4 linked regions of the Elephas maximus indicus genome follow. The protein of the gene in region 3 interacts with the protein of the main gene of each other region in a biochemical or structural test. Links are inferred from orthologs where the notes say so. Each region holds a gene or a part of one and is shown on either strand. Other genes may lie near its edges. The genes, in order: CD46, NOTCH2, JAG1 and NOTCH1.

The links.
Region 1: the proteins of JAG1 (region 3) and CD46 form a complex in vitro, tested with the Homo sapiens proteins (2 studies listed by IntAct, with this or other methods). The link is inferred for Elephas maximus indicus from reciprocal best matches to the Homo sapiens genes JAG1 and CD46.
Region 2: the proteins of JAG1 (region 3) and NOTCH2 form a complex in vitro, tested with the Homo sapiens proteins (2 studies listed by BioGRID). The link is inferred for Elephas maximus indicus from reciprocal best matches to the Homo sapiens genes JAG1 and NOTCH2.
Region 4: the proteins of JAG1 (region 3) and NOTCH1 form a complex in vitro, tested with the Homo sapiens proteins (3 studies listed by BioGRID and IntAct, with this or other methods). The link is inferred for Elephas maximus indicus from reciprocal best matches to the Homo sapiens genes JAG1 and NOTCH1.

What each region holds. Positions count from the first base shown.
Region 1 is NC_064836.1:17,662,262-17,669,928, forward strand, and holds the start of CD46 (membrane cofactor protein), read left to right. Parts: upstream 1-4,655; 5' UTR 4,656-4,791; coding exon 4,792-4,915; intron 4,916-7,667. UniProt on the Homo sapiens protein: Acts as a cofactor for complement factor I, a serine protease which protects autologous cells against complement-mediated injury by cleaving C3b and C4b deposited on host tissue.
Region 2 is NC_064821.1:159,337,386-159,344,375, forward strand, and holds the start of NOTCH2 (neurogenic locus notch homolog protein 2), read right to left. Parts: upstream 3,020-6,990; 5' UTR 2,699-3,019; coding exon 2,626-2,698; intron 1-2,625. UniProt on the Homo sapiens protein: Functions as a receptor for membrane-bound ligands Jagged-1 (JAG1), Jagged-2 (JAG2) and Delta-1 (DLL1) to regulate cell-fate determination.
Region 3 is NC_064843.1:49,503,962-49,511,500, forward strand, and holds the start of JAG1 (protein jagged-1), read right to left. Parts: upstream 3,001-7,539; 5' UTR 2,512-3,000; coding exon 2,431-2,511; intron 1,994-2,430; coding exon 1,688-1,993; intron 1-1,687. UniProt on the Homo sapiens protein: Ligand for multiple Notch receptors and involved in the mediation of Notch signaling. May be involved in cell-fate decisions during hematopoiesis. Seems to be involved in early and late stages of mammalian cardiovascular development.
Region 4 is NC_064827.1:3,026,908-3,034,047, forward strand, and holds the start of NOTCH1 (neurogenic locus notch homolog protein 1), read right to left. Parts: upstream 3,004-7,140; 5' UTR 2,803-3,003; coding exon 2,739-2,802; intron 1,071-2,738; coding exon 986-1,070; intron 1-985. UniProt on the Homo sapiens protein: Functions as a receptor for membrane-bound ligands Jagged-1 (JAG1), Jagged-2 (JAG2) and Delta-1 (DLL1) to regulate cell-fate determination.

The sequences.
Region 1 (7,667 bases), on a different chromosome or scaffold from region 3:
AAGAACAATGGTGAATCTGTGAAACATTTCATAACATGGAGGAACCTGGAAGGCATTATGCTGAGTGAAACTAGTCAGAGGCAAAAGACAAATATTGTATAAGAGCACTGTTATAAGATCTTGAGAAATAGTTTAAACTAAGAACACATTCTTTTGTGGTTACGAGAGGGGGGAGGGAGGGAGGGTAGGAGAGAGTTATTTACTGATTAGATAGAAGATAAGAAGTACTTTAGGTGAAGGGAAGGACAACACTCAATACAGGGAAAGTCAGCTCAACTGGACTAGACCAAAAGCAAAGGAGTTCCCTGAATAAACTGAATGCTTGGAAGGTCAGTGGAGCAAGGGTGGGGGTTTGGGGACCATGGCTTCAGGGGACATCTAAGTCAACTGGCAAAATAAATTCTATTAAGAAAACATTCTGCATCCCACTTTGAAGTGTGGTGTCTGGGGTCTTAAATGCTAACAAGTGGCCATCTAAGATGCATCAATTAGTCTCAACCCACCTGGATCAAAAGAGAATGAAGAACACCAAGGTCACAAGGTAATTATCAGCCCAAGAGGCAGAAAGGGCCACATGAACTAGAGACTTATGTCATCCTGGGACCAGAAGAACTGGATGGTGCCCGGCCGCAACAGATGACTGCCCTGACAGGGAGCACAACAGAGAACCCCTGAGGGAGCAGGAGATCAGTGGGATGCAGACCCCAAATTCTCATAAAAAGATCAGACTTATTGGTCTGATTAAGGCTAGAAGAATACCAGTGGTCATGGTCCCCAAACCTTCTGTTGGCCCAGGACAGGAACCGTTGCCAAAGACAATTCATCAGACATGGATTGGATTGGACAATGGTTTGGAGAGAGATGCTGATGAGGAGTGAGCTATTTGTATCAGGTGGACACTTGTGACTATGTTGGCATCTCCTGTCTAAAGGGAAGATGGGAGGGTACAGGGGGTTAGAAACTGGCAAAAACGGTCACAAAAGGAGAGACTGGAAGGAGGGAGCGGGCTGACTCATTGGGGGGAGAGTAAGTGGGAGTATATAGTAAGGTGTATATAAGTTTATATGTGACAGACTGACTTGATTTGTAAACTTTCACTTAAAGCACAATAAAAATTATTTTTAAAAATTAGTGTAAGAAATCAAATGTGAAAGTCTTCAATTACCTGAAAAATGGCTTGATGAACTCGAAGCATAGAAAATTTCATTGTCTGAAAGGTTCCTGTAAGATAATATTCTTGAATCTAATTTAGTACCTGAAACTAGGAAACCGAACACTAGCCATTTTTTTTCCTCCTATCTTTTTAATTTTCTCAAGTGAAAAAACTCCTACTTCTAAGCTTCAAAACAGATAGGACTTTTTCTTAAAATTGTACTTCAGATGAAGGTTCACAGAACAAACTAGCTTCTCATTAAACAATTAGTCCACATATTGTTTAGTTACATTGGTTGTCAACACCATGACATGTCAACATTTCTCCCCTCCTCGACCTTGGGTTCCCTATTACTGGCTTTCCTGTCCCCTCCTGCCTTCTAGTCCTTGCCCCTGGGCTGGTGTACCCCTTTAGTCTCCTTTTATTTTGTGGGCCTATCTAATCTTTGGCTGAAGGGTGAACTTCAGGAGTGACTTCAGTACTGAGCTAAAAGGGTGTCTGGGGGCCACACTCTCTGGGTTTCCGCGGTCTTTGCTAGACCAGTAAGTCTGGTCTTTTTTTTTGTGTGTGTGTGTGAGTTAGAATTTTGTTCAACATTTTTCTCCATCTCTGTCTGGGACCCTCCACTGTGATCCCTGTTAGAGCAGTGGGTGGTGGTAGGCAGGCACCATCTAGTAGTGCTAGACTCAGTCTGGTAGAGGCTGTAGTATTTGTGATCCATTAGTCATCTGGGCTAATCTTTCACCTGAGTCTTTGGTTTCCTTCATTCTCCCTTGCTCCAGATGGGGTGAGACCAGCAGAGCCAGATGGGACATTTTTAGTATTTATTGTTGCAGAGAATAATAAACAGATTTTCTGCTTTCACAAATAAGTGCAATATTGAGTCACAGAATGTTTCTGTCATATCACTTTCACAACTGTAAGCATTAACAGAAATGACATTTCCCCATCATTAAGTTTCCTATTCACTGTTTCCTTATTTTAAGTTTACTTCCTTTAAGTATCATCATGGAACGTCAGCATTTTAAAATCCAAGATAGTAAGGTGTTTACTTTGCATACCACCTCTACACTAAGTGTTTTCTATGCTTTGTCAAGAATTCACAAAATTTTCACAGGAAAAGGAAATTCTATGGGTTGGTGAACCCAGAAAATCTTCAGTGCATCTCAGATACAGAGTTATGTTAAATATATATAAACTGTAGTAATTACAGAAGGACCATTCGAGCTTCCTAGAGGGCCTTCATTTCCTCACCATCCTCTCATACCTTATCCCTGTGTAACACAGGTTCCATCCTCATCATTCTGTTAACAAAATATCACTGGGTACATGGGTTAGAGTTTTAAAACTAACCTTTGACCAAATGTAACATAGGATCAATGCGGAAAACTTATAAAACTGAAAGCACAAAGAAAACAAAATATCCATAAGCCTATCAACTACTGTTAATTTTGGTATGTTTCCAACTAGTCTCCTTTTAAGCACATTAATATGGTGCTTTTGTTTTAATAAAATGAACGTCATGATGTACATACTGATATATCAGAGTGATCTTTTACAACACTTGCTACATAGGATTTCATCACATAAAAGTACCTACCATAAATTCTTCAATGGTCTTACTAGACCCTCAGCACTTACATTTTTTCCAAAATTACAAATCTTTGCTCACAGCGCTGATGTTTTGGGATAAGCTAAGTGCTACAGCTGCTAACCAAAGGGTCGGCAGTTCGAATCCGCCAGACTCTCCTTGGAAACTCTATGGGGCGCTTCTACTCTGTCCTATAGGGTCACTATGAGTTGGAATTGACTCGACGGCACTAGGTAAGTGAGACTGTGGTTTAAAAGTCATGTCCATTTTAAGACCTTTAACGTACTGCTAACCTGACCTCCAAAGTTTTGTTTTTCCACTAAAAGTTAGGGAGTGATGCCCCTCCTTGCCCAACACTGGCTGATGTTTTTATACTCTTTTGACCGCTTTTAAAATACCAGTCAGGTTACTTTTATTTATTTACGTTGTCACACAGGCTTACTCGCAGCTCTACTGATAAATCTTACTCATTCTTAATTTTTAGGGGTTGTTGGAGAGATTCTCTCACCAGAAAAGTTCTCCTCCTGATCCACTCCATTTAACCCATCCCATCTCCTAAGGCATTCATTGCTTCTAGGAATTTGGCACTTAAAACACCCTGTCTTTACATTTTTTATGAGTGTACATTTCACCTTCAATAAAACATTCAGCTGCTCAAGAGCAAGAGCTACACAGAATTGAGGTGCAATATGCTAATCGTCCTGTTTCTAAACAATTCACCTTCCCATGGGGTCTCTGAAGGAAGTCCAGGAAGAGCAATTTCCACTCAGGGTTGGGAGTGCAGTGGCCAAACCCTCTTTGTGATTTTGAAAACCAGCAGGTGTTGAGAGGGTTTAGCAGAAGGCACTTCTTAAGCAAGTACGATCCTTAATCATGCCTGATTCATGCCAAATATTGGGTAAAGACGCAAGTAGTCCAGACCACCCGGAGTGCCCCAGGACAATGGGGCTCTGAGGGGTGCTGGTTCCACAGTGTCATGGATTGAATTATGTCCCCTCAAAAACGTGTATATCGACTTGGTTAGGGCCATGATTCCCAGTATTGTGTGATTATTCTCCATTTTGTGATTGTAATTTTATGTTAGAGAGGATTAGGGTGGGATTGTAACACCCTTACCAGGTCACATCCCTGAGCCAATGTAAAGGGAGTTTTCATGGGGTGTGGCCTGCACCACCTTTTATCTCTCAAGAGGTGAAAAGAAAGGGAAGCAAGCAGAGTTGGGGACCTCATACCACCAAAAAAGCAGCACGGAGAGCACAGGGCATCCCTTGGACCTGAGGTTCCCCCTGCTAAGAAGCTCCCAGAGAAGACCCATGACAAGGACCTTCCTCTGGAGCCCAGAGAGAGAGGAATCCTTCCCCAGTAGCCAGCGCCCTGAATTCGGACATGTAGCCTACTGGACTGTGAGAGAATAAACTTCTCTGTTAAAGTCATCCACTTGTGGTATTTCTGTTATAGCAGCACTAGATGACTGAGATACACAGTGACCCACTTCCTGCACCCTTGGTGTCCATTTTTAGCCCAGTGCCTTTTATTCTTCAATGCCCAGTTCCCAGTAAAGGAACAAGTTTCCCGTCCGCCCTTCCTGGGCAGGGCGGTAACCCGGTTCACCCAGCTGTAACGCTGAAGAGCGGATGTAGCAAGAGCAGTCACGCCCCATTCCAGGGGAGCTGGCGGCCACTTTCAAAACCCCTTGGGTTAGTCAGGCCACACCCATCTATTCCGGCCCCTTAGGCGGCCGCCTTCTGCCTGCAAGCCTGGGCACCGAGGCCCCGCCTTCCAGCGCGCCGATTGGCCCCGCCCTCCAGCGCGCCGATTGGCCCCGCCCTCCAGGGCGCCGATTGGCCCCGCCTTCCAGGGCGCCGATTGGCCTCACCTGGCTCCTGTACTACAAGTCACTTCCGCCCGGGGCGTGGTCCGGGCCACGCCCACCTGCTGTTGGGTACTTGTTACTTCGTGAGGCTGAGGATTGTTGCGTCTGATAGCCAGGCTCTGGGGGGTTTCTCTGCCCCGAAGGCTCTCGGGTTTCCGCCGGATCACCGGGAAAATGACAGTGTCTGCCGCGCCGCCCACGGCCCCTGCTTGCCGCCGCGAGAGTCCCTTTACTTCCTGGTGCTCCTTGGGAGCGGTTTTGATGTCTGTAGTGTTCCACCTGCTAATTAAACACACCGGTAAGACCCCGGCGAGGGTGCGCGCGCAGTCCGGAAGGCTGCTGGGCGGGCGAGGAGGCCCGCGCTCGGCTGACCTGGGTCGTGTATCTTATGGTGTAGGGCATGGCAAGGTTCGCCGGGGTCGCGCTGCGCCGGGATTTGGGGGGACCATGAGTTGCATGGCTTGGTTGCAGTACGGAACTGGGCGGTGCGGAGGTGGTGGCCGCCGCAGGTGTTTTTACAGCGGCTGTGCCGTGTTTACGGTGATTTAAATGAACCTTTCTTAGCTGTGGAAACCCTGGTTGCCTAGTGGTTAGGTGCTACGGTTGCTAACCAAAAGGTCCGCAGTTCGAATCCACCGGGCGCTCCTTGGAAACTCTGTGGGGCAGTTCTGCTCTGTCCTGTAGGGTCGCTATGAGTCGGAATCGACTGGACAGCAGTGGGTTTGGTTTTGGGGGGTTTCCTTAGCTGTGCTGTGAGTGCTGGCGGAGAGGCACAGCCGCCGTTGGCTGGAGCCGTGCTGTGCCGCCAGCAAGGGCCAGGGCGGTGTTTCTGGGACTGAGGCTCACCCGGAAGGGGAGCAGATGGCGTGCTTCGGTGAGGGCTTGGTATGAGGTGACTTGGGGTCTCGAGTGTTGCCAAGGTCTCTGCAGTATCCGCGTTGAAGGCTGGGGTGGCGGAGCCCAGGTACGCTTTTGGCGCAGAGTGTACTTTGCGGACGTTGAGGGGGCCCTACTTGGCGGTACCGAGTGTGGAGCCAGGAAACGCTCGTTTTGCTTTGTATGAATGAGTTCGAGCTGTGGGGTTGGGGAGGGTACATTGTGCTTGTTGTGCTTGCGGTCGGAGCAGGCACTAGATGCCAAGGTTTAGGGGGATGGAAAGGGAACTTAGCTTTTTAAACCTTCTGGAAACAGGCTCCTTGCCGGTGACCGTGTTGGTCCACGGCAGAGGAGCGCTCTTCTTTGGCAGATTGCTGCTTGCTCTTCCCCCACCCCCCCGCCCCGAGCCATCTTTCTGCTCCTAAAAAAAAAAAAACCCAATATAAAAAAAAAAAAATTTTTTTTTAAAGCAGTTTCTAATTCTATTACCTAACGGCTTTTGGGCATTGTTTTCCTTCTTTTCATTAGATTGTGCCATATTTGAGGGCATATTTGCAAGCCGTGGTACCTTGGTAGCCAAACCTAGTAAGAAATTAGTGTCCTAAGAAAGAAATGTTAATGTGGCCCCTACAGTTCATAAACTAAAGCAGAGGGTCTATCCCACTAAGCTTGTTTCATATTTTATTGAATGGGATAAGTACTTAAAAAATGGTAAAAAAAAAAAAAAATACGTGTGTGTGTGTTTCTATCGTATGCAACTTGCACAAAGGTCAGCTATTTTTTAATATTTTGGTGTGTTCCTTCTAGTCTGTGCACCTGTGTCTCTATGCCCAGGTTATCTTTAGGATCCGGTTACATGTAGAAGTCTGTAGTAGTGCAAACGGTTAACTGCTCTAGGCTGCTAACTGAAAGGTTGGAGGTTCAAGGTACCGCTCCACTCTCTCCACCCTTATTTGTTTTGTCCACTGTTATAGCCCCAGTGCCAGGCACATAGTGGGCAATCACTAAATATTAGTAGAATTTAAAGGGTGATAGACATTATCCGGAGCCCTGGTAGCGCAGCAGCTGAGAGCTACGGCTGCAAACCAAAAGGTCGGCAGTTTGAATCCACGAGGCACTCCGTGGAAACCCTGTGGGGCAGTTCTGCTCTGTCCTGTAGGGTCACTGTAGGGTCGCTATGAGTCAGAATCAGCTGGATGGCAACGGGTGTGGTTTTTTTTTTTTTGGTAGATATTATCCATAACATCATGCTAACGAATATATTATAAACTAAAAGAAATGCTATGGAAGAAAGGAGCACGATTCTCTATTGCATTTAACAAATGACTGGAAGCAGATTTTCTCCTCAGCACATGGGCCAAGCTCTGCAGCTTTAGGGTGTCTGCACTTGCTGTTCCCTGTGCCTTGGCACACTCTCCCGCCTCTCCAAATAATTAGCTCCTTCTTATCCTGCCAGCTAGCAGGGGTGTTCCCCCTTCAGAGAGGCCTTTTCTGACCACCCTCTCTGAGGTAGACAGACATTCGTCTACCTGCTAACTTTTGATCATCCTGCCAAAACTATCTTTTATGTTCTCTGTCTCTCCCCACAAGATAGACATCTTGTCTTGTCAGACTTAAGGTGCTAAAGGCCCAAATTTTGGTGCAAATAGTTAAGTGCATGACTGCTAACCAAAAGGTTAGTGGTTCAAACCCATGCAGAGGCACCTCGGAAGAAAGGCCTGGCAATCCGCTTCCAAAAGGTTACAGCCTTGAAAACCCTATGGGGCACAGTTCTACTCTGCACACATATGAGGTCACCATGAGGTGGGGTCATCTCCATGGCAACTGGTTTGGTTTTTTTGATTTGTAGCTGTTAAGTACCAGCAAATATATTTGACAGGGGCTTAGAGCCCAGGAAGAAGTTAATTCTTCCTGCTCTCCAGGAGGAAAGTTCTTTAAAGAGCCATGTTTAGGATGGCCTTTCTGTGGTGTGTAAGTAGTACGGCAGGGGCGGCTTAGGGTCAGAAAGTATCTGTCTTCCCTGTTTACGTAGACTTTCCAGAGCTCACAGAACTTCAGTCTCCCTTCTCACTGATCATTAAAAAGTTCATTTTGGTTGGGGGTTCCTTTTCTTCACCATTAAAAAGCAGTGGTGATGAGAAGAAAACAAGGAATTTTTTGAAAAAAAGAATAGT
Region 2 (6,990 bases), on a different chromosome or scaffold from region 3:
AAAGGAAAAAAAAAAGTTGCTCTTTGTAACTTTTTTTAAAAAGTAAGAATTCAGCTGAGAAATTATCCAGCAGGCAGCTAAGCCAGGCAGTCACTTCCCATTGCAAAGCAGAAGAAAACAAGGAGCAACTGGTGGTCCTGGATAATTGTTTAGACAATCAGACAGATGGGTTGACAGCTCCTTGGGTTAAGAACTCAGTGATGTTTAAATTAACAATTGGCTACAAGCCAAATTCAGGAACCCTCAAAAGGTTGGAAGGGTGTGTTATAATTGGTACCTTGATAAAACACAATGACAACAGATTAAGAAGATCCAAGAAGCCTTCGCTGTTAGAATCTGAGATTTAAGATTTTGTACTAAGTAACCAGCTTTAACCTCTTCCATTGCAGTAGTTTAGCACCTGAAAAACACCTGTCTAAAAATCAAAATGTCTAAATCTTGTCCTTTGAGCTAACTTGACTAACACTCAATTTATCCACCTAAAAGCTAAGAATAGCAAGACATTCCCAGTACAAATGCATAAAGGAGGATACAGTTCAAGGCACTGAGGCCCTAGATGAGACACGCCCTATGTGTCATGGTCATTGTATTCCTGACATCAGTCTTATAACTTAACACTTAATTTTGCAAATCATTTTACAGTCCTATTTGTTATTCCCTATAAATCTCAGAGGTAGGTTATTCCTTTGGTCCCATTTCATAGGTGAAGATTACTTACTAAAACAAGTTAATGGTAGACCAGGAATGTAACCCTCAGACTAGCCCATTATTCCCACTCCTCTCTATCCTAAATCTACACTTACACTAATCCTTTCACTCAAGGACAAAAGGAAAGACAAAAATACCATCATATTTTTTTTTTTTAATTAAATGCTTTAGAAACTACAATCATGGTTCATCATCACACAACCTCCTGGTCCACTTTTGAAATTCTCTGAGACTTCGAGGTGTATGGAACTTGAACTTCCAAGAAGTGTCTGGTGCTGAATAACCCAGTACTACGTTTTTCAGGTGATAAATAGCTTGTTCTCTTTTAAGCATCTGTGACAGGAACATCCACTGCCTGCTGACAATGAACAAAGACCAACTTTTCCTGAAACTCATCATAACTTTTTCTTTGAAAGAGACCAAGCTCATGTAGCATGGTGTTTTTGTTTATGTGTGCATGTGTTGTGTGTATGTGTGTGTGTGTATACATATACGTACACACATATATATCCGTGTGTGTATATATATATACACACATACATATACAAATAAAGGTAAGATCTTTCTTAGATTACACTCAGGAAAGAGGGGTCCCTTTCCATTCAATAAACATACCCAACACACATCCTACTACAAGGAGTGAGACGACAGGGAGTACAGAAAAAATAAAACACAGCCCATTCTCTGAACGTGCTCTCCGAACAACTTTTGAGTACCATGGGTTTAATTTACTTATCTTAATTAATCCTTTTAGCTGGGTAATTTCATTTCCATCTTACTGGTGAGCTCATACAGCAGAACCAAATTTGAACCCAGGATTAGAGAGTGAGCAGGGTTCCAAAGCCCAAACTCTCCACTGAACAGCCTGAAGAAATTTAGAATCTCAGAGTGCAGTGGGATGATTAAAATATGATTCAATTTCCTTTCCTTGGTCCAACTGTATTCGAAAAGGCTGCTGCAAATATCCAACCATAAAGAGGCTTTCTAAGGAAGCATTTTGAATCAACGTATCCACTTTTCCTCACCCGCTCCTGCGCCCTCCCCCCACCCCAAGGCAAAAGAACAGTAAAATGTTGCTGCCAGGTTGGCGGAGTTGGTGATCGTCACACCACATTCCTGGGGCTGGACACAGACTGAAACAGCGCCCGAGCTCCGCGCCTCGGAAAGAATAACAGCAGTTGAGATTTTTAAATCATGTGGCTCAGCATGCGGCCACACCAGTTTCTCTACTGCTCCTGCCACCACCTTTCAAAGACGCCAGCAAAACACACCCGACTCATCGGGACCATCCGGTTGGAGTGTCAAAACTCCGGCGCACTGCAAAATCCTGTCCCCACCCAAAAACCCACTCATCCACCCAGACTGTGTGCCTGCCTTTGGCAAAACTCTGTCTGACTGTGAAGGTGCAAGCCGTTGGGCTTGGCGGCCCTGCCCCCGCTCTCTCCACGCCGGAATCTGGCATTCCTTGGCTTAGCCCAACTGTGGTCCGCTGCGGGCGAGGGTTCGCCTCGGTGGCTCTGCCTCGCCTCTACCCCGACCTCAGCAAACGCGGAACCAAAAAGGCAAAACTGCCCAACTCCCCGAACTTCAGGACTGGAAAATGAGAATTTCTAAGACTTTGCTGCCCGGCTCCCTCTGGCAGAGGAGGCGTGTGTGGGGCAATGGGCCGAGGGGAGCAGGAGGCAGAGGAGAGCGCAGGGGAGAGGGCGCCTGGAAAGGGGGCCCCCCGATGATGTCCAAACTTTCGGGAACCAAGTGGCCCCACTCCGCTCCGGTGGCGAAGCCCCGGCCTTGTCCTGCGCGCAGCGGGAGGACAAGAGTAGAGAGGAAGGGTCGCCCCAGGTGGCCCCGGCCGCGGCGGGGGCGGCGGTGCGCGGCCCCGGCTCAGGGGACAGCACCCCCCAGCCCTATACTCACCATGCGCGGGGGCGGTGCGGCACAGCCAGAGCGCCAGCAGCGCCCACAGCCGAGCGGGGCGCAGGGCAGGCATCTTCTCCGTCGCCTCCTCCGCCGCCGCCGCCGCCTGGGCAGATCCACATGGGGAGGGGGTCCCTACACAGGAGCCCCCACTTTCTCCTTCCCTCCTACTGCTTCTGCGGTTCACAGCCTCGCGCGGCGCCCTGAAGCTCAGGCTTAAATGCCTCGACTCCCTGCACCCGAAGTCGCCGCTCCCCGGCCGCCGCCTCAGTCGCCGCCCGAAGTTTGGCTGAAACTTTCTCGGGTGTGCAGCGAAGCAACCTCGTGTGTCCTTCCGCCTCGGCCGCCTCCTCCCACCGCAAAGCCCCGCCCCCCTGTCGCCGGGGCCTCGGCCCGCCGCCTTCGGCACCCAGGGGTTTCCCGCAGGAAGAAGCGCCGGTCAAAGCTCCACGCGGAGGGATCTACTACGACTTGTTAGACCCCCTCCCACCCCCCACACACCCATCTCCCCTCAACCCGGGTCCCGATGCGCCTTAACTCAATCGACGCTGGAGCCGCACACTTCTGAAGGGGGTGGACGTTAGGACTCTGAACTTCAAACACTAAGGCTGCCTGGACCGTGAACTTGCAGGGAGAGACAGACCTCATCCAGTGAGACAGGTATCACCCCCACACACTCACACATCCATACACCCCCTGCTAGCTAAAGGGATGCGGTAGAGAGGGACCAGTGCTGTCAAAGAAGGAAATGGGGGCTAGGGCGCCAAAGTCCATTTTAAATGAACAGAACCATCAACTGAGTTGTGTTGCACTATTCATTCATTCAGCAAATATGTTTTAAGCGCCTTACTTTGTGAAGCAGTGTGCTAGGCACAATGGAATGATAGCAAAGGCTCGTGATGTACAAGCTACTCTGAGTTCTGAGGAGAGAGACTACTGTGGGCTGGAGGGTCCAGGGAAGGGTTTTATGGAGGAGGTGGGAAGGGAGCAGGATCTTGAAAGGTTAGTAAAATTTGTATAAGAACACAAGCTAAGAATACTCATTGCAACATTGTAATAGCCAAAAATTGGAAACAAACTAAAGGCCCACCAATAGAGGAATGGATGAATAATGTATTACCATATTTATATTTATAAAATGAAATACAATACAGTAGTTGGAAAGACTGTATTCATATATGTCAACAGGGATAAATCTTAAAAACAAAATGATAGTGGAAAAAACTAATTGCAGAGGTGACAAAGTATAATACCCTTCATATACAAGTAAACTTTTTTCAAAACATTGCTATATATTGTTTATGGATGCATATGTATATAGTAAAAGGATCTAACCAGAATGGTGGCCACTTCCAGGGCAGAAGAGTGGGGGGTGTGATCAGGCCTGGGTCATCATATGTAAGACTAAAAAAAACCAAATCTGTTGCTGTCGAGTCAATTCTGACTCATATGGAATTAACCAAAAAGTTGTACAGGGAGAGCAGCATTCCAGGGGAGAGCCACCCTAAAAGCAAAGACGCAGACAAGGGAATAAGTAGATAGTTCCAGCATTGCTAGTAGTGCGGGGAGTCAAGGAGGAAAGGGCAGGTTGGGACCAGATTATGCAGGGCCATAGAAAACCACTGACAGTTCTTGAACAGGGTGAGACTTGATGGAAAGGAAGGTTGCTCTGATATCCCGTGCAAAATTGATTGTTTGGAGACAGAGGTAAACTCGAGCCCAAGGACCACTCAGGAGTTTGTGAAAAAATTCAGGCATGACTGGGACTGGAGGAACCCCGGAGGCCATGGACCCCAGACCTTCTGTTGCCCCAAGGCAGGAACCATTCCCAAAACCAACTCTTCAGACAGGGATTAGACTGGAATAGGGGATGGAAAATGAGACTGGTGAAGAACAAGCTTCTTGGAACAAGTGGACACATGATACTATGTTGGCATCTCCTGTCTGGAGGGGAGATGAGAGGGCACAGGGGGCCAGAAGCTGCCCAAATGGACACAAGGAGAGAGAGTGGAGGGAAGGACTGTGCTATCTCATCAGACAGAGAGCAATTCAGAGTGTATAGCAAGGTGTATGTAAATTTTTGTATGAGAGACTAACCTGATTTGTAAACTTTCACTTGAAGCACAACAAAACTTAATTTAAAAAAATTAGAAGAATACTAAAAAAAAAAAAACAAACAAACAAAAAAAAAACCCAGGCATGGGGTGATGAAGGCCTAAATTAATGAGGTGGAAATCACCATGGGAGAGAAAGGATGGATTTGACACACCCACTGCAGTCGAGTTGATTCTGCCAGATCTGAGGCAATATGAAATAAAGGGAAGGGGGGCAAACTTATGGGACTAACTCAATGTGGGAGTTTACAGTCTAGTTGGGATGGGAAATCCTATCCATAAAGCCTCTCCCTGGTTCCTATAAGATAAAGTCCAAACTTTTAAAAAGGCCTTTCCGTCGTTGTACTCCTGCCTGGTCTCCAGCCTCATCTCCTCTCATCCCTGCCCCCTGCCCCTTGAACTTTACACAACAACAATATATATTGAACAACTTGAGACTCCCCAAATGTCCATGAACAGATGAATGGATAAACAAAATGCAGTACATACAAAAGAAATGAAGTTGCGATCCATGCTAAAACATGAATGAACCTTGAAAACATTATACTAAGTGAAATGTCAGGCACAAAAGAACATATATGAACCCGCTTATATGAAATATAGAGTAAGCAAACACGTAGAGAAAAAAGGAATGGTTACCAGGGACTCAGTGGAGGGAGGAGTGGGGAGTGATAGCTTTTTGGGCATGGTTTCTTTCTGGTGTAATGAAAAGTTTTGGAAATGGATAGTGGTGATGATTGCACATGATGAATGTAATTAATGTCACTGAATTGTACACTTAAAAATTGTTAAAATGGCAAAGGCTTTGTAATATAAATTTTACCACATTAACATTAAAAAATTAGGAGAGGCAACTTCTGGAAAATTAAAAGGAAATGAGAGTAGATGGCAAAGAGAAACAGACCACCCAAGGCCTGAACCTTGCTGTTTAAATCTCTGTTTTCTGTTCCCTTGGCTTAGAATGACTCTTGGAGCCTCCGTCCCTGCCCCACTTGGTGAACTGACCATCACCATTCTTCAGTCCCCAGCAGGCTTTGCCTACACTATAACAAATTTCTACCCCTCACAGACAGGGCCTCCTCTATACTGCTGTTTTCTCTTGTGCCGAAATCTATTTTTCTCACAGGACTGCTTATGTGTCTGTCTTCTCAACCAGATTAGAAGGTCTTTACAGGCAAGGAGTCCCTGGAGAAGGACATCATGCTTGATAAAGTAGAGGGTCAGCAGAAAAGAGGATGGCCCTCAGTGAGATGGATTGATAGTGGCTGCAACAATGGGCTCAAGCATAATGATTGTGAGGATGACGCAAGACCGGGCAGTGGTCCGTCCTGTTGTACATAGGTTCGCTATGAGTTGGAACTGACTCGACAGCACCTAACAACAACAAAATGGGCAAGGATCAAGGCTTTATTCATCTCTGTATCCCCAGGGTCTATCACATAATGGATGTTGAATTAAGAATGGAAAACAATGCTGAACAAGTGCAAATCAGTATGAGCAATAGGCCTATGAAATTCCAAACTGTTTTTTAATAACCACTTTATCACAGATAATCAAGTACTATTATTAAAAGTAGTCACTTTTGAGATGCTAGAAACTCTTTTCAAAAATAACGTAGTCAAAATAATTTTGGAATTTCTTTTGTGCATTTGTGTTCAGAGAAAGATAATAACATTAATTTTTAGTTGTTGACCCAAATCAGTATTTCCCAGCATGACCATCCTCATTATTTCCTAAGTATAGCTGTATGACTTGGCTATACACAATTTTTTATAATTACCTAAAAAGATTGAATATGTCACTATTAAAATATATTCAGAAGAATGTACTTTGAAGGTAGTCATTTCCAAAGAGCAGCTCCTGAAATGGCCATGGCTATGACAACATTGTTAAAACAGGTATGCAATTTCTCAAGGTGACTATTTTAAAGAAAGCAACTATTATTTTCACATATGACTTATGTTGGATATTTATAATGTCAAACTTATTACATATGTTCCCACAAGGGCAAGAGGAATAAAGAGTAAACGTTATAAATGGAAGTAGAAGGTTTTGACTGAAGAGGTGCTTTGAAAGGTTTTGAAGGAGGCCAGTGGTTAAGAGCTCGGCTATTAACCAAAAGGTTGGCAGTTCAAATTCACCAGCCGCTCCTTGGAAACCCTATGGGGCAGTTCTACTCTGTCCTGTAGGGTCGCTATGAGTCAGAATCAACTCAACGGCAATGGGTTGTTTGTTTGGGCATAGACATAAA
Region 3 (7,539 bases):
TTTCACGCAAGCCATCCTCTGACCCTTCCCTCCGAAATGAACCTCAGCCAGGCCTGCTGCTTTTCTACATCATTAATAAGATTCCTTTTATGGTCTTGTGAAAAGCCAGGGGCTCTGGACTGATCCTCTTGCTCGTGGAACCACCTGCAGGGCCCCTTCGCCCTGAACTCCAAACACACATTCAAGGGCAGTCAGTATTCCCATTGCACGTGGGCCCAGACAGATTTAAAACTGGCCGACCTCCTTAGCTTAAAAGTTCTCCCTAATAGGGGATTAACAAACAAGATAAACACTCTTTGTAAAAGTTAAATCCCACAACTGAAGCAGCCCCCCCTCCCAATCTCAGACAACTCCACACACCACAGGCCTTTATAAGCCCCTTTCTCGTTTAATGGACTATTTTTGATTACTGTCTTATCTCACACACAGCAGAGGACATGACAATGCCAACAACTACAAATGTGGGCCTTCTGGAACCACCCCAAGTTTCGGCAGACCTAGCCAGACACTTTCCTCTCCCTCCAGGAGCTGAGAATCACAGCCTGAGCCCACAGGTAGGAGGCAGCAGAGGGCACCCACCCCATCAGAGCACGTGGCGAGAGCATTCCTCTACGGCTGAGCCCCCTCCCCCCGCCCCAGGCCGTGCTGGGCTGAGCCCCAGTTCTGGCAATGAGTCACACCTCCTGGACAGCAGGAGCTGGGCAGAGGGCACCCCCAACATTTCCCTTTCCTCCCTTTCTGCAATCGCACCCATCTTCCTTCCACCCATTTCGGGATGTTGCAAGGGCTTTGTTGAGGGGTAGTCCAGCTGGGCCCAGGCCTCAAGCAGCTCTGGGGGTGGAGGAGGGGGATGAGGGGGATGAGGGTCTGTGCACTCGAGCCCGTCAGCAGTGCCTCCAGTGAGCCACCCCTTCCCAACCCTTGGCACGCCCCCGAAGGCCTGCGGGGGCGTACGCCCGCCCGACAAGGGCGCACCCCGCCCTTCCCGGGGAAGTTTGCAAACACAGCTGTTCCAGAGCCCAGGAACCACTGGAAGTGAGGCCAAAAGGGCTGCACCGCGCGCGGGCAGGAAGGGGCCGGCAGGGGGCGGGGGCTCCCGAACCGACAGCCCCCGCAAGGGCCCCGAGACTCCCCTGCGGCAGCCGCCCGACCCGGGAGCTCGCCCCTGCACGCACCAGAAACTCCCGGGGAGAAGCGGGAAACGGGCTCCCCCCAGACCCTCCAGGAAGGACACACCCGCCCTCCAGGCGGCTCACGGAAAAGGAGAGGGTGCCAATTTGGACAGTTTTTTTTTTTTTTTTTTTGGAAGGCCAGAGCTGCTCGCAGTCTCCTTCCACCGCGCACCAGCTTTAATTGGTTAAGCAAAGAGACCACCTATAACGACCTCCTAGCTCACGGTTTACTCCGGGGCCTTCAAGTTGCAAGTTTAAGCCGGTCTTACGGGGCGTTTTGCTGCGCAACCCTGTCTGAGGTCTGCACTTTTTGCGCGCTTAGCAAAGAGCTGCGGGGAACGGGCCCGCCTGGTCCGGTCCTGCGGAGGTCTAACTACAGAGCCTCGGCTCCCTAATTCTCCACTCCCCATAGACCTCCCCAGTTAACGCCGGGTTTCCAACCAAGGCCCTTTAAATGCTCCTCACAGGAGAAAGCAGGGCTCGGTCGGGCCTCCCTCCCTGCGTCCGTCACTCACCGGCCAGGCGAAACTGAAAGGCAGCACGATGCGATTGCGGTCGTTGCCGCGACTGGCCTTTAGGTTGAAGGTGTTGCCCCCGATGACAGGCGTGGATCCCGACCCGAAGCTGCAGGGCCCCCCGGCAGTGACGCGGGACTGGTATTCCTTGAGGCACACTTTGAAGTACGTGTCACATTCGTCGCGGGTGCACTTGCGGTCCCCCGGGCTTCGGGCGCCGCCGCAGCAGTTCCCGTTCTGCAGCTCCCCGTTCACGTTCTGCATGGACAGGATTTCCAACTCGAACTGGCCGGAGGCCCCGCACACCTGCCGGCGAGGGAGGGAGGGAGGTCAGCGCGGGGAAAAGTTGTTTTCTTCCAGGGTGGAGCTGGCGACTCCCTCCCCGCCCGCCCCGACGAGCCCTGGACGCCAAGTGAAAGTAATTCTGCAAAACGGAGTTCAAGGGCTCAACGTGATTCCGGGGCATAAAACGCACGAGTGCGGAAAAAATCCGACGACTAAGTGCGCGGGGCCAGAGCAGGACGGACATGTCCCTAGCCCGGCCTGGAGGGGCCACGCTTAGGAGACCCCGAGCGCCCGAAGCGGGAGCAGGCACGCCCAACCCAGCCCAGGTGCGGCCGCTGGGGCACAGGGGTCGGGCCCGCGAGCCGGGCGCCCGAGGGCCGGGAGGCGGCCGCCCCGCTCCACCGCGGGCGTCCAGGGTGCCGCGAGGAAAGGGAGAGGGAGGCCCGGCGGGCTCCTACCTGGGCTCGCAGGGCACAGAGCAGAGCGAGCAGGAGGCTCAGGGGGCGCCCAGGCCGGCCGCGCGTCCGTGGGGACCGCATCGCTGCGCCGCGCGCCGCGGGCACTCGGGACGCCGCCGCCGCTGCTCGCGCTGGTGTTCCCGCCGGTGCTGCCGTCGCCGCTGCCCCTGCGGCCGCCGCGCTCCGGCTCTGATATACTCCGCCGATTGGAGCATGCACGACTGGAAAACAACACCACTTTTCAAAAGCCCTTTCAAGAGCGGCGGGTTCCAGAAGGCAAAGAGCCCGGCCTCCTTTTATTATTCTGATCGCTTCTTTGAGGCGCTCCCCCTCCTCTTCCACCTCCCGGCTTTCTTTCCCTCTCTCGCGTTCCCCTTCTTTTATTATTATGATTATGCGCAGCCTTTTATTCCCTTTCAGATTAGCTGCTTGGAAAGGGGGGAGGGAATGAAGAAAAAAAAAAAAAAAACCCAGCCCAGCTCGCGGGCCGGCGGCAGGTAACACAATGACGCGCGCCCGCCCGGCTCTCAGAGAAGGACCCGGAGAGCCCGTCTGGGCGCCGCGACCCGGGCTGGCCACCTCTACCCAGCGCGCCGGGTAGGGCGCATGCGCGCTTATTAATATTCATAAGGGGGCGGGCCCACTCAGGAAACGCCCCTCCCCTCCCCTGGTCATGGAGAGGAGGGGCCCGGGATGGGGGAGCGCGGGGAGGAACTTGGAAATGGCTGAGGGAGGCGCGGGGCTGTGTAGACGTCGGGGGTCCCCGCGCAGACCCTCGTGCTCTGGAGTTGGGGGCCAGGCGTGACTGAGGAGGTGCGGCCGGGGAGGGAGCACGGAGAGAACCTCGGAATGGGCTGGTGGCCCCGGGCCGCACGGGGTCAGGTGGCCACCCCGCTGGCACCCCGAGCCGGGCGCCGCCGCCCGCCCGTCGGGGCCCCAGGTGTAGGCGCCGCAGTGCTGCCGAAGCGGTCGGAGCGGGGCCGCTTCCGACCCGCCTGCGTCAGCTGCGGCTTTTGCCCCAGGAGGATGGCCTGCCCGCCGGGAGCCCGGCCCGCTTCCCGCGAGCGAACGAGCCGCCCGGCGCGGTCTGTTGGCGGCAGGGATGGCGGCGGCGGCGGCGAGGCTGGCCCGCTTGCCGCCGTCTGCTCGCCTCGCGGAGGCGACCTGGGCCGGCGCTGCTGGGAACTTTGCAAAACCTTCCCGGAGCCAGGCTCGCCCGCAGATTCGAGGGGAGGCCTCGGGCCGCCCCACCCCACCCCACGCCCTCTCCAGCCGAGTCTGCGAAGCCTCGGAGGGCTCCCGGCTTCCTTTCCAAACCGCGCAGGGGCAGAGCGCGGGGAAAGCGGGCGGAGAGGGCGGCGGCCCGCCGGGGCCCTGCCGGGGCTTTGGGAGAAGCAGGCAGGGAGTCGGGGGGCTTGCCCGCACTCCCAGCGCCGGCCCGGGGCCGACCCTCTCCGGGCCGCAGTGCCGGGACTGCACCTGTAGGCGGCCTCCGAGCAGCTCTCTGGGTGGCTAGACGCTGGTCGTCTCGTCGCCTCGCCCAGCAGTAGGACTTGCCTTCTCTATGGTGGCAAGGGATATCGATGCTATTTTCCACCTTTGGGCGAGCCTCACAATTAACAGCGACACTCCCAGTCTTAACTAAGGTCAAAGGAAGCCAGCGGCCTGGCGGAAGCTTCGCCCAGCCCTTCCCCCAGAGGGCTTGCTGCTGGGTCTGAGGGGACCAATTTAGGGAAAGACAGGCCTCCATTTAAGAGTGGACAATGTTTTGGCCCTTATTTTGGGTATGTCCTGCGAGAAATCATGACTCTTAGGGGTTCAAGCCCTCCCGGCTGTGGGGCCATGCTGGGCTGCAATAGGCCGTGAAAAAAGTAGTTCCCAACATGCTGAGTTAAGAGAGCATAAAAGTGTGGCTATTACCTCCTTTCTGCCTTTGGTGGAAGGCTTAATATAGAAAATGTTTTTAGTGCCGGACCTCATCATGCTGAGGAATAAAGTATGGCAACTAACTGACCTCTTTAAGTCAGTTCAAAGCCACCGAGGATGGTTTAGAGCTCTTGGTATTTTAACATCCCAAGAAATACTCCTAAGAAAGATGCCTTCTTAACAATGGTAATCTGTGCCATCCTGATGGCCGTCAATGAGAGAATTCTACTTTGGAAGGGGAACATCCAAGAGCAGAATTAATTTACAGTAATTTTGACAGCTGGCATAGGCTGCCTAGTTGTTAGGTGCCATGGAGTCAATTCGGAGTCATAGCGACCCTATGTACAACAGAAGGAAACGCTGCCCAGTCCTGTGCCATCCTCACAATTGTTGCTATGCTTGAGCCCATCGTTACAGCCACTGTGTCATTCCGTCTCATGAGGCTTCCTCTTTTTTGCTGCCCCTCTGCCAAGCCTGGTGTCCTCCTCCAGGTACCGGTCCTTCCTAATAATATGTCCAGAGTACCATCCTAACTTCTAAGGAGCATTCTGACTGCACTTCTTCCAAGCAGATTTTTTCATTCTTCTGGTAGTCCGTGGCATAGTCAGTATTCTTCACCGGCACCGTAATTCAAATGCATCTTTTTTTTTTTTTTGCGTTAATTCTCAGGTCTTATTCATTGTCCAGCTTTTTGAATGCATATGAGGTGATTGAAAATACTTGGGTCAGGTGCATGTTAGCCCTCAAAGTGAATCTTTGCTTTTCAACACTTGAAAGAGGTCTTTTGCAGCAAATTTGCCAAATGCAATATGTCATTTGATTTCTTGACAGCTGCTTCCATGGACATTGATTGTGGATCCAAGTAAAATGAAATCCTTGACAAATTACACTGCCTTAGGCTGAGCCTTTCTCTTAGTGTGCCCCAGCAACCCCTCCCCCCTAATTAATCTAATTGCTAGGCATCTGGTTGTCAACTATAATTCCTTCTAGACTTTTCTCACCTGTTTCCATATAAGCCAATCTCCCCATCTCCTTTCCACCTCCTCTCCATCTCCACCCTCCTAGTCTCCCTGAGTTGGGGTGCTAAGTGAAAGTTAAAAAAAAACATAATTCATGAACACTGTTGTGGTCTTAAAATACACACTCCTCTGAGCTCCCCATATCTAAACTTGTGTTAATTCTCTATTCCCTGTAGTCTGTGCTTTAGAACCTCCTTAGGAAGGAGGTTATAGAGCCAGGCTATTAGCTGAAGAGTTTAGATCCAGACACCTGGTTTAACCATGGAGAGCTACCTGAGATTACAGGTGCCTCCAGGTAGCAATCTGGGCTGTATAGAAGCCAGAGTTGGTTCTAGTCCATTAGTATGTTTAGCCCCTTTAAGTGGTAATAAGAAACAATGTGGATTTCCTAGGAGTTGAAACTACCTGCTTAGTGCTATCAGGGATGTCAAATCACTAAAATTCTCGTGCCAAATAGCACTGTGTCCCCCAACCTTCCTCGGCTTGGGAAGTCACCCTTCCAGAAGATAGTTGTGGGCTAGAGGGGATTCTTTTGAAAAATTTCAGCTGGGGCACTTGGTACTCCCCCAAAAAGCCAGTCTTGTTCCCTGCAACAGACTCAGAGTGGAAGCTCTATCCTGTGCTTCCTCACAGCTGATTCTCAGTCCTCTTCCCTGGAAGAGGGGGAACTACTGCTGAAAGAACTCAAACGTAGAGATGCCCCCTTGGCCTCCAAGTATATGTGAACATTCCAAAACATCATTCGTGTGAAAAAAGGCCTCATTTAGCCTTCACAACTATACCTGAGAGAGGAGACACTTGTAGTCTGAGACAGTCCTGTATTTCTCAAATCATACCTTCCTTTAATTTTAAAAAGACAATGCCTCATTTTTCTTGCCTCACCTTTGCTGGGTCATCAACAAACAGTAGTCCTGACCCCCAGAAAGACTCAGTAAGAGGCATTCAGGTGGCCTTAAACTGTATTTAAATACATTTCATTAAGGGCAGGAGTCCCTGGGTCGTACAAATGCTTAAGCACTCAACTACTAGCCAAAAGTTTGGTGGTTCAAACCTACCCAGAGGTACCTTGGAAGACAGGCCTGGAGATCTGCTTCCGAAGCGTCACAGCCTTGAAAACCCTATGAAGCTGTTCTACCCTGCACACATGGGTTACCATGAGTCCAACTTGACTCCACAGTAAACTAACAACAGTAGTTAACGGAAAGCACTAGTTAACACTGTGATAGAAATCACTCCCTCCCGAGTCAGTAGTTATTAATACTGTTACACACAGCAGTATGGATGATCTCAAAAACACCATGCTGAGTGAAAGAAGCCAGACACAAAAGAATACATTCTGTAAGAATTCATGTATGAAGTTCTGGAACAGGCAAAACTAATCTATGGTGAAAAAAATATAAGACTGATTGCTTGGAGAGGGGTGGGGTGGTGATTGACTGGGAAGGGACTTGTGACCTCTTCTAGGTTGGGTCATGTCTTATATATCTTGAAAGGCGTTTGGATTACATGGGTGTGCACATTTACCAATATTCATTAAATAGTACTCTTAAGACTCGTGCACTTCATTATAAGTTCAAAAGAAAAGGAAAAAAAAATGTAAACAAATATTCAACTCCAGCTAATTATATGACTACCGCAGCATTTAAAAGGAAGTGAAATGATATGTGTAACTTACTTTGAAATGAATAAAAAGAGGAATTGGTTGATGGACAGAAGGTAGCCAAATGGATAGATACACGCTACAACAGGAATCCCGTCCCGTTGCCATCCGGTTGGTTCCCACTCGTGGCAACCTTGTGTGTGACAGCAGCACTGTGTGTCATGGAGTTTTCAGCGGCTGATTTTATAGAAGGAGATACCAGGGCTTCCTTCCAAGGTGCCTCTGGGTGGACTTGAACCTCCAACTTTTCTGTTAGAAGCAGAGTGCTTGACTATTTCCTCCACCCAGAGAATCCAAAACAAAAAGTGAGGAATTAATGATAGAATCTAGCTGATGGGTACACAGGTTTTAACTAACATTCTTTAAATTTCTATATGTTAGGAAAATTTTATTATAAAATGTTGGGGAAAATAGTTATTGAAGACCTATATGTGCCAGGTATTGTGTACAGTGCCAAGAATAGGGTGGACAATGTCAAAATATTGAAATTAAGCATTGTAGCGT
Region 4 (7,140 bases), on a different chromosome or scaffold from region 3:
CAAAAAGCAAAAAAAAAAAAGTAGCATGCATTCATTAGCATCTGACAAAGGAACATTCCGCTCTGTCCATTAAACTGCTCACAGACCTTCGTAATTGGCTTCAGTTGGTGGGCGGGGGCCCGGGGGCTGCTGGTGGGCAGGCCAGCCGGTGGTGCAGTGGGCCGGGTTGTCAGGGGAATGGGCCCATCAACGGTTGGAATGAGGGCGCGCCGGGGGCAGACCGGGAGGCGGAGTGGACGGCTCCCCAGGGCCTCCTCAGTATTCCCATCAGGGGCAAACTCAAGTTGAAGGACATCGGGGAGCAGTGAAAACGTCCCGAGGCAGACTGGCACTCCAAACAGATCTCTCAGCCCCCCTGTGCCCACTCTCCAGCTAAGCCAAGGGCCGTGGATGGCGCTCATGAGGCTGGGAGTTTGCAGAGCCAAGAGAGAAACCAGGCTTCCCGATAGACACCCCCACCCATAGAGATGGGCGGGGCCGGTTCAGGCTTCTCTCCCCAGTTTCACCCTGAGGCCTTGGCGCAATGGGCTGGGGAAGGCCCAGGCCTAGAGAGTTAGGTTTTGTTTTGAAACAGTCAATTTCTTTCTGAGAGGCTCACCTGCCCACAGGTGCTCAACCTGCCCAGAAGAGATGCTCCCCAGGTGGCAGTGGAAGTCCTGACCCCTTGACAGGTCAGCCGTTTCTCAGGGACTTCAGGGAGAAATGGGCTGCCAGGATACCCACCTAGGGCCCAGTAGGCCGAGGTGGCCACGAAGAGGGAGCCCAGGACCCTCCCTCCGAGGCCTGGCCAGCTCACGCGCAGCCTAATTGCGGGTGATTAAGTAATTGCCAGACTTTGTCCAATAAAAGTCAGCACGTGACGTGCCCAGCCTTCTGGGCCATCTCCACCAGACAATGGCCTAGTGTTCTGTCCCCGGCTGCCGCAGAAGGCAGGGACTCCCGCTCCCATAAAGCAACAGGTCCCCGTGGGGGCGCGCATACTCACAGACAGGCCTCCGTGCCATTGGCAAACACTTCACACTTCCCGCCATTCAAGCAGGTCTCCTCACCAGTCTGGGAACATCGCAGGCCTGGGGGGGCCGGGGGAGAGACAAGAGGGTCAGCAGAGCCTCGGCTTCTGGAACGGCCCATCTCTGAGGACAGAAACCTAGCCTCTGTCACCAGCTCCGGACTAAGTGCCGCCATCAGACCTCACCTCGGGGGCCCTTCACTCAGAGTCCTGGGGTTGCAGGGGCAGGGGGCACCGGGAAGCCCCAGAATGAACCCCGAAAGACTTCAAAGTTCCAGTCAGAAATGGGGGCGGGGTGGGCTGGCAGGTGGACAGGCAGTGCTCAAAGTGGGGAGTGACTGATATGCCCCCTGGCAGCAGCGGAGAAAAGTGATGTCTCCCGGCGCCACTCTCCCAACTTTACACCCCCACCTCCCCAGTTTTCTTCAGAGAGCCACACGGGGCTGGGGGCTAGGGCCCCCACCCAGCCACTGAGGCTGTCTTGATGTTTAAACACGCTGCCGGGACGTGGTGGCGGCGGGAGGGTCGGGGCCGCCACACTCGGCTCCCCGCTCGTGGGAAAATGCGACAGCTGCGTGGCCCGCCGCCCCGCCCGCCAACAGAGCGCCGTCGCGGAATCAGAGCGGGCCATTGTCGCGCCGGCCGCCTCCTGCGTCCTGGCCGCCCCGCCCCTGCGGACACCCAATACCTGCTCCCGCGGGGCCATCTCCAGGGGCAGCCCCACCACACCCATGGGAGGGTGGGGAGCCCCGCTGGGAAGGAATGCGACCCCCTTCCCGAGAACCGGTCCATAAACGAGGCCCCGCCCTTCCCTCTCACCCGCCGGACAAGTGAAGCCGTCGGGGGGCGGGGGGAGGGCGCTGTGACAGGGACTCGACTTTCTGAAAGGGGGAAAAATTCTCACCACCAACTTTTTGGGAAGACAGGAATTAATCACCAGATTGCCCGGAGACCCTCGGGATGGGAATCGGGCCAGGAACCGCGCTCCCTCCCACGTCTCTCTCCACCCCCCCCAAGATCGCCAAACTTGAACTCCGCGGAGCAAAGCGAAACTCGGTCCCACCAAGGCGAGTCTTCCGCACTCCCCCAAAAAGTCTGTAATCCGGGATCCGCACCCCCCCCCAAAGAAAGGCTGTGAGCCGGGCTGGCGGCCGGCGATCCCGCCCGGGGAGGGGAAGTCCGCGGGGGTCGGGGACCGGAGCCGCTCCACGCGCCAGCCCGCGCGAACCTTCCTGAAGGCCAAGGAGGCCGGTCGGCCCGGACCCCGCTTCCCACGGCGCCTTGCCGGCCCCGGCCGCGAGGGCTGGCCAAGGGGAACACAGAGCCGGGACCCCACGCTCCGCGCCCCAACATCCGCCCCCGGCGCGGGCCCAATGCGCAGAAACAAGACTAATGGCTCCGAGAAGCAACAGGAAACCAAAACCCACTAGATTCAAATCGAAAAGTGGTAGGCAGTCCGCGCGCCACGCGGCAAGCCCACGCGTGGCCGGGGAAGGCGAGCTTGGCGGCGGGGCCCCAGACCCCGGGACCGGCGCCCCGCGCCCAGCTCTTGATGCGGCCCCGGCGCCGGGCAGCGCGAGTCCGCCCTGCCTTGGGGGTGGGGGTGTCCCAGTCCTGGCCCGGGACTCCCGGTCTCCTCGCCCCGCCCGAGGCCCCCGGGGCGCGCGCGCAGCGCCGCCAAAGTTGGAGAGGGGCGCGGAAAGTTGCGGGCTCGCGGGGCGGCGCCTACCTCGTGCAGCGGGGAACGCCGGCAGCAGCACCAGGCAGAGCAGCGGCGCCAGGAGCGGCGGCATGCCTGCTTCCCCGCGGCGCTCCGCTGGCTGGGCGGCTGGCTGGGCGCACTCGCGCCGGGGGTCCCGCTCCGCCCTCTGCTTCCCGGGGGCGGGCGGGCGGCGCTGGCTCTCGCGGGCTCCGGCACCGGCTCCGCTTGCGATTGGTACCCAGCGCTCGCCCCGCGCCTTGCGCTCCCTCCCGCAGGCCGAGGCACTAGTGAGGCGCTGGGCCGCCTTGTGTTCCGCCCCGCCGGGCCCCGCCCCGCCCCGCCGGGCGGCCCCGCCCCACCGTGAAGCCCCGCCCCTCACACCCCATCCGCGATCCGTCTGAACCCCGATTCCCGGCCGGCTGCGCCCCTCGGCTGTGCACCCCGGGATGCGCCCCTCGGTGGGAACGCGCTGCCAGGCCAGGCGCTCGGGACCGGGGCCGCGCTCGGGAGGGTGGGCCAGGGCAGGCACTACTTGTTGGTTCGAAGTTTCCGAGGCCAAAACTTTGGGACGCATTGCGGAAGGATCCGTCTCGGCCGCTGCCGCCTCGGCGACAATTGGGGACAATTTGCATCTCAATGGCTGAGGAGGAGCGGCGGAGTGGGGAAATGAGAGGCCCCGGAACCGTGCCGGCGGGGCAGGGGCCGGGAGGCTGGGCTGATCCGCCGAGGCCGAGCTTGGGGATCCCGGCCCGGGCGGGGCTCCACTCCCAGGGCCCTGCTCCGGCCCGAGAGCCCAGGCCTGACTCCCACCGGGACGGCCGCAGCGCTTGGCCCTGAGGACCATGGCGCCACGGTTCAGCCTCTGGGGAATGGAGTCGGGCACCCCGAGGGGAGGCCCGCAGCCACCGTCTCGCGAGGGGGGCGCTCAGCGGCTCCCCCGGAGGGCCCCACGGTGGACGCTCCTCATTACTGCCTGCCCCTGGCGCCAACCACCCGTGGGCCCTGGAGAGCCAGCCCTGGCGCGGCCTCCGGGCTGGCCTACACGTGCTCTGCCTGGGCGATGTGTTTCTCTGCGCGATGCCCCAATAGGGTGCCCTGTGCCAAGCCGGCTAAGCGCTGGGCGCCCAGAATGACTGCCACAGTCCCTGTCCACCAAAGGTAGACGGACTAGCCCCAGGGACAGGCACCCCATCCTGCATCAGGGCAGTGAGCCCAAGGGCAGGAGGTGCACCCACCGAGCTGCGCGTCCTGGAGTAGGCGATGCCAGCTGAGGGGTAAAGGCTGAGAGACCTAGTGGGGAAGGGTGTTGGGGATGGGAACACCCACAGGACTGCTGGGGTCCCCAGGCTTCTGGAGGAAAGGAGGCAGCCCTGCTTAGGGAGGTGGGCAGACTCCCACATGGCCAAGCCCGCTTCCTGCCTGTCTTGGCCCACCTGTTGCTGCGCAGCCACCGCAGGGAGACCCTGCCAGTCCAGCCCCTCGGCTGCTGGAGGCCCTTGGCTGCTGGAAGCCCCCGGGCGCCTCCTCCCAGAAGCTGGCGGCCCTCCTTGGAACCTTGGGTAACTTCTCGAGGTCAGTGCCCCAAGGAGGCGCCTCCAAGTAGTGGATATGTTTATGTAAGAGCAGCCGGCAGCCTGGAGGAGCAGGCTTTCCCCTAAAAGGAAGAGAGGGGTGCAGTCCCCACCCCATTTACAGACCTGGGACTCCGGGGGCATCTCACCCCCAGGCCCCTCTGCCTCTGGCCCGACTCAGGGCCTCAGGCCTGGCCCCTCAGGGTGCCACTGCCTCTGTGCCTTCTATCTGACCTCACCAATTTCCCTGGGCCACAAGTGAAGGCCCGTCCAGCTCTGTTCTGGGAGCCACTGCACACCCATCCACCCAGGAGCAGGCTGGAAGGCCAGGGGAGGAGACGGGGAGCACAGCATGGGGTCTGGGGGTCTGGGTCCAGCTGTAAGGATAGCCTGTCCACTCTGAGCCTCTGTCCTCCATCAGTGGGAAGATTGTGGCCCACTGGATGCCCATGGTCCGACCATGCAGGAAGTGGGCCCTCTCATTACCCACCTTACAGACAGCAACTGAGCCACAGACCGTGCAGCTGGCCTCCCAGCTGGGCTGCCTAAGGTCTCCACCACCTGGGGTCCCTACAAATGGCCAGGAGCAAGGGGACCCCAGGAAAGCCAAATGTAGCTGGAGGTGCAGAGGCTGAGGGTGTGGGCCGGGTAGGGACCTCCCCTCCCCTGAGGCCTGAGAACGAACGGGTGGGCCTGACTCCTGGCAAGTAGGTGAGAAGCTTTTTTATTCACAAATTAGGCTGAATATTTCTGACCTTCCTGTCTTTTACCCACTTTGGCCTGGCCAGGGAGAATGGGGCTCCTGACCAAGCAAGAGTGAGGCTAGGACTTCTGTGACCTTCTCCAGTGGGGGCAAGCAGCCTGGGGGTAACCCTGGGAAGTGGGCCTTGGGGGAGCTATGGAGAAATGATGGGGGGTGTATGTGGGGCACCTGGGATCCCAGCAGTAGAGTGTGGGAGGGACCTGGAGAAGCTGAATGGGGGCTCCAACTATGATGCAGCTTGTTGTGGGTACCCCTGGGCTGCACCCAAGCTGGCCAGGGAACCTGGGACCAGTCTGGGGGAGACTGGAGGGGTAGCTTGCAGAGGGGGGCAGGGGTGCCCAGTGGCCACCTTCTTCTCCAGGTGCCAGCATTATTGGGGTATCCTCATGGGAGGGGCTGGGGAGGCCTACTGACATTGGCCCATTCCTGTCCCCCAAAGGAAGCCCTCCCAGCTCCAGCCTGCAGGGCCATGGCCACTACTTTTCAGGACAGATGGGTCCTATGTTAACATAGAGGTGTCTGTCTGGCCCCAGCGTCTGGGCCCTTCTTTGTAGCAGTCAGCCCACAGACACTCAGGCGGTGCCTGCTGTGTACTCAGCCCCGGTTCTGTGAGGCACAGAGACCCTGGCCACCCGGTATGACCTTCAGCATGTGCAGACAGCTCAGGGCGGGTAAGGCTTCAGAGGGGAATCTGAGATCACAGGAGAGCAGTTTCCCCTGAAGTTCCAGGTGCCCTCCATGACCCCTGCAGGCCTGGGGGGCACGACACTCCCCATTTTACAGGTGAGGGAGTTGGGGTTCAGAGATGCTGTTAGGAGACTGGCTAGGGGGCAGCAGGCCCAGCATTGGTCTTCTGCAGGCGCCCGGCAGATGGGCCCAGAAAGCGGTGGGCTGTCTGTGTACGCGGCAGTGCTGGGGACCTTGCCCTGAACCCCACCCTCAAGCTCATGCCCATGATATGGGGGCGGCAGCCTGGAAGAGGTGCAGGGAAAGGAAGCTTGGTGTGGGGAGGGTGGCTTGGAGTCTTCAGGCCAAGAGGAGGCTGGGGTGGTGGTCAGGAGGCCAAAGTTTGGAGGATGGACTGACTGTGGGCGTGGCATGGTATGGCATGGCTCGTGGTGAGTGATGTGTCTCATCTGAGTGGTGGGTGCCACTGGGGAGTTGTGGGAAGATCCGGAATGCCTAGGGGTGAGGCCTCTCCACCCTTCGAAGTTCACTGTAAAATCTCTGACCTGCTTGCCAAGCTCCAGCCCTGGGGCCTGAGAAGTGGCCAGCTCCAGGGGTTCTCCTGCCTAGTGCTGCACCCCACAGTCAGGCCTACACCAGACCTGTCCGTCAGCTCTGAGCCAAGCACTGGACTCCAAATTCCGGCCTACCACTGCCCTGCTGGCCGTCCACGGGCTATCACTCACCCTGGGCCTCAGTGCCCATCGAACGAGTGATCCTAAAGCCTTTTTCCATTTCAAAAGTGGCCGGTCAACTTCGGAGGATTTCACCCCTCCTATAATAAAAAAAAATAAATAAAATAATTTTTTTTTTTTTTATTGGGACCAGGTCAGGAATGATTCTGTAACTGCAGACGTAAATGAGGGCAGCGTATACATTGCAAGACAACCAAATCTGTTGCCCGTCAGACTTTGACCAGTCAGACTTTGACCCACCAGACTTTGACCCGTCAGACTTTGACCCAGGAGGAAACGAACAGCGATGCCCTGTTCAAAGATGGCGGCTGGCTGCGCTCCTTGGAATGTGTGTCACTCTCCGCAGTCCTGCCAATAATCCAGCCTCCCGCATTAGGCTCCTGAAATTTTCGGGATCTGGCAGTTACAGAACTGTTCGCAACCTGTTGGAAGCCCTGCCTGAGAGTGGAAAGGGGCTGGCTGATCTCTAGTGTTTGCTTCCCTGCCCCCACCCCATCACAGAGCCCCTCTCCCCCAGGCCCAAGAGTGCACCCAGCTGCCCGCACCTGGCCAGCCTGCTTGCAGGTACTAGATCCCGCCCTGGGACATATTTGCCAGGCCCTGATGGGGGAGCCCCTCAGGCTCCACAACCCCTTCTCTTGCCTCCAGGTCTCACAAACATTTCTTGCTGAGGT